Danio rerio: one gene and its partners. The protein of the gene in region 3 purifies or fractionates together with the protein of the main gene of each other region. This does not show direct contact. Links are inferred from orthologs where the notes say so. Each region holds a gene or a part of one and is shown on either strand. Other genes may lie near its edges.

Region 1 (4,712 bases), on a different chromosome or scaffold from region 3:
CCCCCACACACTCTCACATTCACTCTCACACCCTCAGTCCCTCTCAGATGTGGCCCGGCCTGTCAATGGAGGTAAATTGCGTCTACGATTTGATGTTATTTAGATTATTATGCTGAATTCCATTTTGTGTGTTACTAATGAACATGTTGATCTTTTACAGTTTCACCCAAGTCTCAAAGGACTGGACAGACTAACAGAAACATGCGTACCTCAAACTCCCACTCCTCCCCTACAGGTAAACCAAACAGATCTTCTGTACCCACACTAGGTCTTTTGCAATGTGATCACGGTTTTTAATCATGCTTATTTGTCCTCCGTAATGGTAGCTGACTTTGTAATTTTTGCTACTTTACCATCTGGCTTATAAGTAAGGAATAAAGTACATTTTGGAGGCTATCATCACAGAATAACACCTGACAGGCTTATCTGAGCTTTAAAAAAACTGCCTGGAAGTACTTTATCCCACTTTATATATGCATTCTTGCCACAGAATGTAAAAATTAGACTCAAAACATTTGTTCTAGGCCATAATAGTTTCATTCTTTAAAGCAAAGCTGACAAACAAAACCAGCTGAATGGAGCTGATTGAGCATATACACTAACCTACAAATCTTTCAGTCACAGAGTCAAAACGTCTTGACGGATGAGGATATAAATATTCAAGTGAACTCATTCCCTGACTGTCAGGATGAATCAAAGTACCAGGAATAATATAATTTGAAAGATCGCTATCACCAAATTGAATCAAGTATTTCAGACAGCTGTGTAATTACGAATGTTAAAGAGCCCCTATTTTGCATTATAAAGGGTCATATTTTGGTTTTAGGGGTCTCCAACAACAAACTGACATGCATGCAAAGTCAAAAACACTTTCATTATCTTAAAATATGCATTTATTTTTACCTAATTATCCCAACGACTCCCATATGATTCGTTTCTCGATTCATTTGTTCCCAAACCCCTCCTTTGCATGATGCTAATCTGTGCTGATTTGTTCGATGACCCAGTCTGTTGTGATTGTTTGACTGGGTTCAGCGCGAGACGGTGTGAAACGCCCACCATGGCTAAGAAATAGAGTATGTGAGAGCCCAATGCAGGAATGCAACAAAGCAATGCGTTAAAAAACCAGCATATTACTCTACTCTTAACACTAACTTCAAATAATAACAGCGACACACATTCAGCATTAATCCACACAGTGACAAAAGCTGAACTATTTTGAAAATTGACCACGCTGCTAATGTGAGGAACAGATGATGGCGGCCTTAGCAAAGATGACAGCAGAGGATCGTGAGTTCAGAAGTGCATTTAAATCGGTAAAGGAAGAACCACACGTCATGTTTTCAACATGGGTTTGGTTGCAATATGTAAATAGCCTAACACGGATTTAACCTGAGAGATGCATAGAAGCACTGATCTATAATAGATAAGTAATTACAGGCCATGTGATGTTACAACACAACAAAAATACATATTTTGCAAACTACACAAAACGAGGCAACAATTTTAATTACACTTACATGTTACGATCCAAAGGAAGAAGAAACTGGTCCCATACATAATAAATATATTCGCCTACTCTGCTGCTCCTTCCTTTAATAACAAACGGCTGGTATTGCTAAGGAGGATATTGTATAAATAATTAGAAAAATGACAGGAACAAACACAACACTAGGTTGGCTATACAGTAGCATTGTAGTGAAAACCCTTTAATACCCGCAAGCGAATCTCCATCTGTCAGTGATTGTCATCTTCATGTCATGATCAGTCCTGTGGTCCCTTGAGCTCCACCAGTGTCTAAATGAAAAGGCAAGTTCACGTTTAACCGGACCCGGTACTACATTTTTGTTGATGTATTGTCGTCGATGTGTTCAGGCAAAAGATCTGAACTGAACACGATTAATTTATTCTTCTCTGAGTCGATTATTTCTTTAAAGAATCAATAGTTTTGAACGCTGGGCACTTTCAGATTTAAACCTCAGCTGGATGTTTTTATTCACTTGATGCTGTGTTACACAATGCATGGAAGCTCATTTTCAAAAACCCATAATATGGGCTCTTTAATGGATTGGTGAAGTTACAAATACAGAAATGAAGGGAATAAGAAAAAGGTGTTTTCTTTTTCAAATCTTGTTGACTGCTCGTCATATTTTATAAGTACAGACACATATTTTTCACCTGCACTAATAAAACTTTTTCAATCACTTCACATATCCAAATTTAGCGAACCACAGTCCTTTGTTAGTTTTTTTTTTTTTTTAGGTTTTAAAGTAATCTTCAATTTAATTTGATTAAATGCTTATTTTAGGTTTTAATATTAAAACAGGCCAAACATACTGTAGAAATACTGACTTTTTAAATTTGGTAAATATTGCTTTATCATTTTTTTTCCCCTAATTTAACACATTGCTAATTTTTTTTTCTTCTCTCCATGCAGTCTCTCGCTCCCCTAAGCCAGATGCTCCTCCTCAGGACCCTCTTCTGACTGGATCTTATTTGGACCCCTCATCCAAACCTGTTGGCCCCACTCCTCTGTTCCCTGTAGATGGTAAAATGTTGTCATAAATCTGATTTAAGACACTGTCCAGTTGTCGGTGCGTCTTAACTCCTTTTCATTTTCACCACAGTAAATGAGATCCTGTCCAAGGAAAGGATGGAGAGTCCAGTTAGTCCACAGGAGGGCAAGAGCAACAAAAGTAATGCTAGTATTGTGTTGCTATCTCCAATTTCATTGCATCCTCTTGATATTTAGCTAATGAATGTTCTTCTATTTATTGTAACAGTACCTTCGGTCCAGCAGAGATCACAAATCTCTGAGGAGCTTCGCAAGTTTGGTAATACTTTTAGGGTGAGTGTGCACGAATGTAATCTGCATCTAGGTTGTTTTCAATCACGTGGTTCTGGTGACTCGCGAAATTCAGATGGAGGGCAGGAAGGACAAAAACTGAGTGGGAGATGCAGGAAAGTCTTTTTGCGATTTTATTTATTTATTTTTATTTTTTTTGCGATGAAATTTCTACTAAACTAAAATATATTTAGCTATTACTTTGAACATACTATAGTGTTTGGAAGCATACTTTAGATTTTTACTTGAATTAAACTGTTGTAGTAATTATATTGTTGCTGTGGTACATCACAACTGTAGTAATAAACAAATTATTCAATAGGCTTCAGTTTGTATAATTATACACCATCACATTGCACCAGAGTTTACTCTAACGTTAAAGTATTTACTATAGTTTCAGTTTAAAATGCTACAGTATTCGGGAGAATTCATTAACAAAGAGTTGTGCACATTATACACTTTAATATGTGGTTTAAAAACATGTTCATTATAAATTACTATAGTTTTTTCCCCCCTGCTGATATCTTCGACATCACGTAATAACAGATGAAAGCATACAAAACTGTGGACGCATAGTCTACATTATTATTAGTTTATTTTTCCAAGAGAGGGGGGGTGCTTTTCAATAGTAACAGTCTAGTTTTGTCGCAAAGGTTATATTCTCCTGGATTTTGTAGCTTGGTGGTGTTTGTATGTGATTTTTATATAACACATTACCATCTAATACACATAGTTAGGCCTGTATATCATCTTTATTGGTGCTGTCAAATGAAATTATCTCGTTCAAAAAACTTTGTACACATAGATGTACTAAAAATTGTTTATTACATTGCCCCTTTTCTGTTTTTCAGCCAGTTTCTTCAACTTTTCCTCCCTTTACAAGCAAAAGCTTTTGGTAGTCCATAAAAGCTGTTCGGCATTTCTTATCTAGAGTTAAACAATAATAAACAACATAAAACGAACATTTTGATGTTCTGATAGAGATTCCTATGCAGAAGAATCACTTTCTGCCCACCATCTGAGTCTCACACGTCATCAGTGTCGTCATGTGAAAACAACTTGTATTACATTGATCAAGTGACCTACCTGTTGCATTCTTTCTTTACTACCTTTCACAAATCCTCCCCTGTTTTTTGCTATACTATTCTATAATATAGTAGTGTTTTAACAAATAGCATCTGATATAATGTGATAAAGTATTTTCAATATGTTTTTCAATGTATTTAAAGTATTTGGATAAGTGCTTAAATTTGACTTTGTAAAGAACCCTGATGTTAATGAGTCTGTGGACACACTCCATCTCCTCCTTAGCCTGATGGCATAGTAAAGTACCTGTTGTTAGCACACTTTAAAAACCTATACACTCAATATGAACAATGTTCAAACATGTTTGCATTGTAGTCGCTTTTGTTTGTATATAGGCGAGATTAGCTTGTTTCAGAATGTGAACTATGTTGCTAAGTCTGAGCGTTTTTCCTTATTTGTGAAATTTATTTTATTTTTTTAAATTATTAATATTTATTTTTTAGCTTCAGCAAAACCCCAAAACTTTGCCCACTGAATCTACTCAAGCAAACCCTGCCCACAACACACAGACTGACCCCGCCGCTCCCACAGAAGCAAAACCAGCCCCGCCCACAACCCCGAACACAGAGCTTTCAGCAGAGGAGCGAAGTAGAGAGACTAATCCAGAAGGGCCGGTGACCTCCACCCCTCCACCGGCCACATCCATCTCTGCACCGTCTGGGATTGGCATGCAAAATCCACCTGCAGAAGGGCAGACGGCGGGGGCGCCCCAACCTGCAAGGACCCCAGGCAGTGAGGATGGCAAACCAGAGGCCCCTGAGAGATCTGAGGGCATGACCGA
Region 2 (4,812 bases), on a different chromosome or scaffold from region 3:
CTGGCATCCTGGTCAAATCTGCCCACTGGCCTCTGTCCATCATGGCCTCCTGACCATCCCCATGTCATAATTGGCTTCATCACTTATTCTCCTCTCGATTGTTGTGCGATCTGGCGCAATATGGCTGCCATCGCGTCATCCAGGTGGATGCAGCACACTGGTAGTGGATGAGGAGATTCCCCTTATGTGTAAACCGCTTTGAGTGCCCAGAAAATGTAAGGAATTATTATTATTATTTTAGATGTTATTACCAGTATGTTAGTTTTAACGAGATCTATATAAATAGTGTGCTCCAAAGCAGTGACAAAATTTGCGTTTGTAAGATATAAACATCTAAAGCTTGTAGTTGTCACTGATATAAACATCTAAAGCTTGTAGTTGTCACTTCAATCCAAATGGGACAATAATTTATTTCATGTCACCTCACACTTTAGTTTCTCATCAAAGCTGCTAAAATAAAAATTGGTGTTTTAAATTGAGAAAGTGGGCTATATGCACAGCTAGTATTTTTCAGCCAATTATGACCTTCGGTGGAAGCTTTATGTGGCTATTATCAATTTCATGAGATGACTTTTACAGCATCAATGTTGTAATGTAAATCAAATATAATCAGTTAACTTGACCTAATACGCATCCAGTTGGTTGTTAAAACGTAAAAAGAGACAAAAAACGTTTAAACGCAGGCGTCGTCAGCCACAGGCCAGCGCAGAAATTCCATTGAAAATACTGGGGTACAATTAATTTCCATATTTTATAGACATGGCTAGCAAAATATAATTTAATGCAGTGCTTCTTGTTAGGTCTGACACCCACTTTTTTTTATTATTATATCTTAACCGCTGCGATTTTGTAAGGGATGACAATTCGCCGGAAGCCCTGAGGCTGGATGACTGGAAATAAACATCCGACTGAATACACCCCATTCACTCAACGTTATGACGCGCATGCGCTACTCGCTCAGTTGAGTATGGCTGACCCTATGGTGATTGCTAAAAGGGATACAGCTGCGATCAGAAGTTAACGAGAATTATTTATAATATTTATTAAATTGTCAATTCATTGTATTTTTTATCAACGTTTACTCCTACCACAACCAAAAACACATCACAGAAATGTAAAAACAGTAATTAAACCGAGTATTATTCATAGTAAGTTATTAATTAGATGACCATGGCAATTAAAATCTTTTTTATTAACGTCTAGCCCTACTACAACCCTCACTATAATGCAAAAGTATTAATAATTATTCTTAAGCATTGTGAATTGAATAAACTAAATTGGCCGTGGAGTATGAGCGTGAATGCAAGTGTGTGTGTGCTTCCCAGGTTGCATCCGCTGCGTAAAACATGTGCTGGATGAGTTGGCGATTCATTCCGCTGTGGCGACCCCTGGTTAATAAAGGCACTAAGCCGAAAAAAAAGAATAAATGTTAAGCAATGTGAATATCCGCAGCTGTATCCCCTCTAGACTTTACCCCGGAAGTAATTGGTTGGCATTAGCAACGTTTCGGCCGAGCCAGGCCTGAATACAGAGATAGCAGGAGAAAGAGAAACAAACAGACAGGTTTGAAAAGCTTCATACACTCATTTTGTCATAAGCTGAGTGCTAGTCTGAATGTGTCGCGATGCTTTGTTTACACTCAGATTTCTCGTAGAGTCCGCGTCAGATTCCCACTATGAACATAATGCTAACCGACTAGCTGCCAGCAAGTCATAAACAATAACAAACACTGAGTTACTCAGTTACCTTGATTCAGATAAACCCTGTGCTTGGGGACACACAGAAGCAGGAGTGTGTGTTTGTGTACACTATCGACAGCTCAGACATGTTACTGATGGGTTTAAGTCATTGATGCTGCTGATCTGATCATATCTAACTTACTGACGTTAATACACTCTTCTCACAGTATCTTATAACATTCCTATTCATTAGGGTGAAGTTGGTCCTATATTTGCACATTCAGACTTTCTCCTTAATAATATGACTTCAGAAAAGTATTCTCCGTTCATTCTACATGAGGATATCATAGTAGCAGCCTGTGACTATCAAAGTACAACATGTACACAGTCAGATAAATAGTGCTAATGTAGTTTTGAAGCCATACTTACACGCGATTTCAGATTGAGGTAATGTTGGTTTTATATATTCACACATTTCGACTTTCTCTTTAATATTATTATTTCAGAAAACTATTGTTTGCAAAGTCCAAACTGGGAAATCCTGTTATCATCGGTGTTGAGGTTAATGCGTTACAAGCAGTGGTGTAAAGAGTACTGAAAAATCATTTTTACTTGCCTAAAAGTGTAGTGCAAGCAGAGTAAAAGTATCTAAAGTAAATATTACTCAAAGTATGAGTAAAAAGTAGAGCTTTCAAAAGTACTCAAGCGTAGTGAGTATTACGCTGTGAAAAGCTGATGTGTTTGCATGTAATTTGTGTGTAAACGTAACATTCTGTAGTGCATTTAGTTATTGCCCAGCAGGCACACAACGTCATAAGACGTTAATATTAGGTAAGGTTTAGGTTGTGATGTCAGGTGACCAAAATTTAATGTCTATCCAGCATCTTTTGTTACTTTGATATCCAATATCGACGCTGATATGTTGAAATTTGGTTGATTCTGCGTTGTGCTAGAAAGTGACCAAAATCTAACGTCGAGCCAACATCTTAAACCAACGTCATATTGATGTCAAATACTGATATTTATATGTCAGGTATGGCAACCAAAATCCAACATCTGATAGACGTCATAGTGGTAACGTCCACATAAGATGTAACATTAGGTATTTGGTTGATTTTAGGTTGTACATTGATGTCGGCCTGACGTTGGGTTCTGACGTCAACCTGATTTTCATTTCCAAACAAAATGCAATGTCCCCCATCGTTGGGGTACATTGTCAATCTAACGTCATATTGACGTCCTGTGTCTGCTGGGTGTTTAAGGCCTTTTTGGTCATCATACCGTAAACATCCATCAGCATGCATCTAAACAGTCTCTGGGTCAATGTGTGTGAAGATTTTGCACATCTTCTTGGACACTTTTAATGCTTGCAAACAGTTTGCTGCAATTATAAGTCCCCCATGTCTTGAGGTTGATTATTATATGTGATTTACCTTCTATGTGTGATTTGATTGGACAGGAATCACAGGACGGATGTGTCCAATCCCCATAGACAAGCATAAAGTGGTGACTGCAGGTTGAAGGAAAGTAGTGGAGTAAAAGTACAGATACAGCACTAAACATGTACTCAAGGCAAAGTAAAAGTACTCATCTTTAAAACTACTTAGTAAATTACAATTCCTGAGAAGAACTACTCAATTACAGTAGTTAGAGTATTTGTAATTTTGTTATTTTACACCACTGACTACAAGAACATGAGTTACGTGATAATATTATATATATATATATATATATATATATATATATATATATATATATATATATATATATATATATATTTTTTTTTTTTTTTTTTATTTACTATATATAATATACACAATTATATTATTACTTTTCTAAGTAACGAGTAAAGTAACACATTACTTTTAAATATACAGTTGAAGTCAGATTTATTAGCCCCCCTTTAATTTAAATTGATATTTTTTTTAAATACTTCCCAAATGATGTTTAACAGAGCAAGGAAATTCTCACAGTATGTCTGATAATATTTTTTCTTCTGGATAAAGTCTTATTTGTTTTATTTCGGCTAGAATAAATGCGGTTCTTAATTTTTTAAACACCATTTTAAGGTCAAAATTATTAGCCCCTTCAAGCTATATTTTTTTCGACTGTCTACAGAACAAACCATCGTTATACAATAACTTGCCTAGTTACCCTAATTAACCTAGTTAAGCCTTTTACTGTCACTTTAGGCTGTATTGAAGAGTCTTGAAAAATATCTAGTCAAATATTATTTACTGTCATCATGACAAAGATAATATAAATTAGTTATTAGAAATGAGTTATTAAAACTATTATGTTTAGAAATGTGTTGGTAAACTCTTCTCTGCGTTAAACAGAAACTGTGGGAAAAATAAACAAGGGGGCTAATAATTCTGACTCTTACTGTAAGTAAAAATATTTGAGTTACATTTTAAAACACAATGCGAGTTACTTTTTAGTTCAGTTTTATATATATAAATAAATAAATTGCTGAATTAAAATTAACATAGTCACGTTGAATCACGCTGTCACCAACAGAAAGCTGGAATGGGCAGAAAAGAAGATGGCAGAGCCTTACATTTCTGTGATGGAAAAACTCTCATTATTCTGAACACATGGAAGAAAATGAAAAGAGCATGATCTGAATGGACAATGATTTGATGACAAATGATTTGACTTTTTAATAAGAAAAAAAGTACAAAAGTTGCAAATGCATCACTTTAAACAGACATTACTCTGTATATGCGGCATGTAGAGCTCTGGGGTCAGGAAGTTCTCAGATAACATTATCCTGCATACATGTTTTATGTGTTTTTTTTAAGGTAAATGATGGTTATACAGTGTGTTGTCAATTGCAGAGCTTCTCTATTTTAAATAAAAAGAGAAAAAAACTGCAAGTTCTGAAAGAGATCAAGCCTCAGAAAAAAAAAGTGACGCAAAAGTAACGTAACGCATTACTTACCATGAAAAGTAACTAAGTAACGCAGCTAATTACTTTTTTGGGGAGTAACTCAGTATTGTAATGCGTCACTTTCCCCAACACTGGTTATCATATATTGGTGTACAGTCAGTAAATAGTGCTATCGTTGTTTTGAAGTCATGCTTGCATGCGATTTCAGACAGAATATTTAATGTAGCATGCTAAATATTA
Region 3 (4,812 bases):
AGATTAAGACATGGAGTATGCCAATTTTAGTCACATTACTAAACTGCAGTAGACATGTAAACACCTTGAATGAAACTATTACCATCATGTGGGATTTGCTGCATTTTGTGACTGGACATTTCATACACACAGCTGTTTGACACTATTCTCTGTACCTACCGAGTCAGTGAGGAATCACAGACACCTGCATCATGAAATGTGGAGTTTATGTTTCCAATACTGCGTGCGTTATCAAATTCCAATAAAACGACCCTCTTACAGCATTAAATACTCATCCAATATTTCATTTGTCAGGGGAGGCATGCATGAAATGTTCCTGAGTGAAAGTGCCAAACTGCAGTTAAAGTCGACAAATTTAAAACACCGGAAATTACATGATATCCCAGAGGAAATGTGAATAGCGTGGCGATTCTATGAAGTTAATTGAATTGTGCTACAACATGTAAAACAGGATCATGAAAAGAACATACAAATTGCAACTTATGCGAACACCTTAATCATATTACTGTCTTATTCAGATTAAGGCAAATAATTTAATTACTAATGTAAACTTAGTCATTGAGTGCTTAGATCAAGCAATGTCGACGAGGCATGGGACGATAAGTTTAAGGTATACCACGGTTTGGAAAAGCCAAGGTTTTAAAACCGCAAAAGTTTCCTACTATACCATTCCTAAGGTATGTCCAAGTTTTGTTTTTTGTTGTTGTTGGTTTTTTAGGACAACAGTATTTCCAGCAGAAAGGAATCAAAAAAAAAATCCAAAGATGCTGTTTTAAATTGTAAGGAAATCTGTGTTTTTTTAAACAAATGAAGACAGCATTAGTCAAAGGCTGTGTCCGAACCGCCTACTACTCAGTAGGTACTGCTTTTGAATTTAAATGTACTACTCGGCAGTTACAAACGTACGTTCTATACAGTATGAATGTGAAAAGTATGGACAGAATTCGGACGTACTATATCCACCATTTTGTCATGGTCACGTGACCTACCTGCATCAGTTGCGTTGCTTAACTTCCATTTATGAATTCTCTCACGTGGCATTATGGGACAGCGCAGCGTGCATAGGATGCGCACTCCGGAATCTCACCGGAAGTAGCAAGTCATCCGGGTACTTCTCGCAAACTGATTTTCGAACTCTATGAATTTGGACATACTACTCGACTCGCATACTGATTTTAGCATACCATATAGTATGGAAGTATACGGTTTCGGACGCAGCCAATGATTCATTTGAATTATTTAGCCTAACATGTTTACCATTACAAAATATATCAAATGTTTCTCTAAATAAAATAAATTGTGTTGAAAGGGGAGAAAAAAAAAGTTAGTTTTTTTACCCAGACATTTAATTAGAATATATTTTAAAAGGAGTAATCACAATATCGTAAAACAGAGATATTTTTATCCGAGGTTATCATACCATCAGAATCTTATACCAGCCCATGCCTAATGTCGACCAAGCAAGACATCGTATGAGGTCTAATGTGAAACTTTGTGATGCAAGATGAGATCAGGGTTAAGGTTGGGTTTGATAAAAGGTTCCATCATTTTAATTTTCTTTTAACAAAAAGTGTGCTAATTGCTCTGTGCATCTTTACCACAAACTAGCACTAACACTTATACTTCTACAATTACCTGCAATATTACAGCATCAAAAGAGTTAACACACACTCATGCAGAAATTACAGGGACAAGCTCTGGTAGAAGTGTCAAGATAAAAAAGTCTCTTGAATTTGTAACCAATTACAACTTTAATTCATTTTCAGATCTATGAACAGACCATAAACGTTATTAAATGTCTAATGTGAGTTCAATAATGATGGCAGCAGCAGCTGGCACAATGTCAACACGATAGGCCTCATTGTAAAACAGCCTCGCGTTTACCTAAAGCATTTAAAAATGACAAACTTTAATAAATGTGACTTCAGTGTTGTTATGCATCTATAAAAACAGGTGAAGTTGCACGTTGACTACACAGCTGTGGAGCTTAAAATTAGACATAACAAATGTTTGGTTACCTTAAGTTAAGCGAAAGCGTATAGTTCATTGAACTCATTCCACGAATACTAAAAAACAATGTTATGTTATACGATATAACCAGTGTCACGTTGTAGTTATTAAGCTAAAATGTACATCTTAAAGGTTAACCGTATTGATTCCACATAACGTGAAACTCGGCGTCACGCAACAAACGTTAATGCTAATGTTTAGCTACGCAGCTACCGCTGACGGCTTCAAGCCAGACAGATTTTAATAGTCGGATACATTTTAAATCTTTAGCAAACACGGTTATCATAATACGATGGAATGTGGCTTTTATTATAAGCAAATCTAAATATATAAGCTGTTAGGAAGGAAATATTAGCAGTGCTCAAGCTCGTTAGCTTTTGGCTTGCACACAGGCCGCACGCGTAACCTCAGATTCACAATCACCAGTATAAAGAACTAAACGCTCGTTTCATAAACGCTAAAACAGAAGCAAGAACATATTTAACTCTTAACTAAATCAGCTAACACAAACACTGCGAGCCAAAAAGACATCACAAATTTGTAAACACCAAGACACAAAGAAACCCACAAAACCGACTTAATCCCCAGAACACAACACGTAGATTTGACGTTCTGCAAACTTACCAAACGTGGCAGAGAATATCTTTCAGTGTGTTTGTGTTTGTGAATTATAGGTGTAGAGTTGTGACATATTTCGGGGTGTAAAGCGAGTGTGTAAGATGGCTTCCAGTCATCTTTAAACCCTCCCATAATCAGTCACATGAGACAGAGCCCTGTCTAATCCACACAAACGCAACGCATATGACGATTGTTTAGAAAACGCAATTTAATGCTGCCGTCATTTCAAATGCGTTGTTAAATATATATATATTAAGAATACGTTAATTAAGCTCTTAGAATTTCGTTTTATTTATGTTTTATTTATTTGTAAGCGGTTGAGGTCGTCACAATTACACATTTTGCTTTAAAAACGTCCTAATTACATAGCAGCGCAGTTTAATTCCTACCTGAGCTTGTTGTAGTCTTGGCTGAAGCACGGCATGTGAAGGGTGTCATTTAATTAGCTCAACGTGTTTATACTTGACTAATTGGTGTAAGGATCCATGTGGTTTAGACATACTGTTTTTTTATTTGGGTATTTAAAAACATATTTTATCTTTAATAATAATGCTTATTTTATTATTGTTGAAGAGGCTTGAAGTGCACAAAGTAGGAATCTGTTGATAGGCACGCCTGAGGTGTTTGGAGGTAGTTAATGAATTGCCTTGAGTAGTTTAATGACTAATTAGACTGACTTATGTGGCTAGAAAGTAGTTTTTTAACGTAACGTAACATTTTTGTGCATTAGTATGTCTGTTATTTATTTATTTTTCGTTGCGAAAAAACATAAATTTTGAGCACGATGACGAACGTGTCCTTAAGTTTGACATAATATACATTAAACCTAATAATTCATCAATTTTCTCTCAGCTTAGTCCATTTATTCATGAGAGGTTGCCACAGCGGAATGAACCGCCAACTTATCCAGCATATGTTTTTTTTTTTTTTTTTACAGCAGATGCCCAGCTTCAACCCAGTACTGGGAAACATCCATACACACTCATACACTGCAGCCAATTAAGTTTATACAATTCACCTAAATGCAGTTACATCCAAATATATTTAGATGTGTTGTTGGACAGGAAACGTAAGTGGACTGAGTCTATAAGGAAAAGGCAACAGAGAATGTACTTCTTAAAGAAACGATTGTCTTTTATTGTTGACAACACATCGTTGATCATATTTTCTAGTGTTTTTATTGAAATTATTGCAACATTTTGTGTGATCTATTGGTATGGAAATGCTTCTGAGGCCCAGAAGAGGTCACTGGGAAAGGTGGTAACAACAGCCAGTAAGTTCTTGGGTATAAAACAAAAGGGCATTAATAGTATATACAAAGAAAGTGTATTAAATAAGGCTATCATGATTGTCTATGATGAGAGACATCCTTTATCAAACACCTTTCAATTGTTACTATCAGTTTGTCGATATTGTGTTTACAGATGTGTGAGAAATAGGACAAAATGATCATTTATAGGGAGCGCGAGGCACAAAGTAATGCAGGGTAACGTAACATGGAGTTGTAAGGTATTTGCTCAGGGTTATTTATGAGGTGCCGTGTAGGATTTAAATCAAACTTTGCTTATCAACACATACATAAAACACGTGTATATACACCTATAAATTACTCGCATATACACCCATACTACTGGATGTTCAAAACAACATGAATGAAACTTGTGTATATACATATAAACTTGACACATGAATACACCCACATACACACGCACATACATATAAACTCGATCCTCACATAAACACTCACATTAACACATGCACATACATATAAACTTGCTGCATGCAAACACACCTATACACACTCGCATATACAGATAAACTCGATTCTCGCATAAATATCCACATTTATATGCACATACATATAAACTCGCAGCATGCAAACACACCTATACATAATCGCATATACATATAAACTCGGTCTATGCAAATACACCCTCAACAACACATGCACATACACAAACTCACTGCATGCAAACACACCTATACTGGCATATAGCCCCAATGTCTAAACTCAGTGCGTGTATAAACACCCAAAATAACACTCGCGCAAACATACAAAAAATAAATAAATAAATAAGATTCACAAACGTTTATCAGGAATCTGGTTATTGCAAAGCTTATGAAATAGAAATAATGTGATTAATAGAGGGATTAAATATGTTAAATTATGAACATATGTTAAAT

The links.
Region 1: the proteins of ddx6 (region 3) and atxn2l purify together in Homo sapiens (affinity purification with mass spectrometry; 6 studies listed by BioGRID and IntAct, with this or other methods). This does not show direct contact. The link is inferred for Danio rerio from reciprocal best matches to the Homo sapiens genes DDX6 and ATXN2L.
Region 2: the proteins of ddx6 (region 3) and mcrip1 purify together in Homo sapiens (affinity purification with mass spectrometry; 3 studies listed by BioGRID and IntAct, with this or other methods). This does not show direct contact. The link is inferred for Danio rerio from reciprocal best matches to the Homo sapiens genes DDX6 and MCRIP1.

The regions. Positions count from the first base shown.
Region 1 is NC_133178.1:14,059,997-14,064,708, forward strand, and holds part of atxn2l (ataxin-2-like protein), read left to right. Parts: coding exon 1-71; intron 72-160; coding exon 161-235; intron 236-2,437; coding exon 2,438-2,548; intron 2,549-2,627; coding exon 2,628-2,696; intron 2,697-2,783; coding exon 2,784-2,848; intron 2,849-4,374; coding exon 4,375-4,712. UniProt on the Homo sapiens protein: Involved in the regulation of stress granule and P-body formation.
Region 2 is NC_133178.1:64,678,325-64,683,136, forward strand, and holds the start of mcrip1 (mapk-regulated corepressor-interacting protein 1), read left to right. Parts: upstream 1-1,465; 5' UTR 1,466-1,563; intron 1,564-2,108; exon of another isoform or gene 2,109-2,260; intron 2,261-4,812. UniProt on the Homo sapiens protein: The phosphorylation status of MCRIP1 functions as a molecular switch to regulate epithelial-mesenchymal transition. Unphosphorylated MCRIP1 binds to and inhibits the transcriptional corepressor CTBP(s).
Region 3 is NC_133193.1:46,839,214-46,844,025, forward strand, and holds the start of ddx6 (probable ATP-dependent RNA helicase DDX6), read right to left. Parts: upstream 3,059-4,812; 5' UTR 3,018-3,058; intron 2,723-3,017; exon of another isoform or gene 2,635-2,722; intron 1-2,634.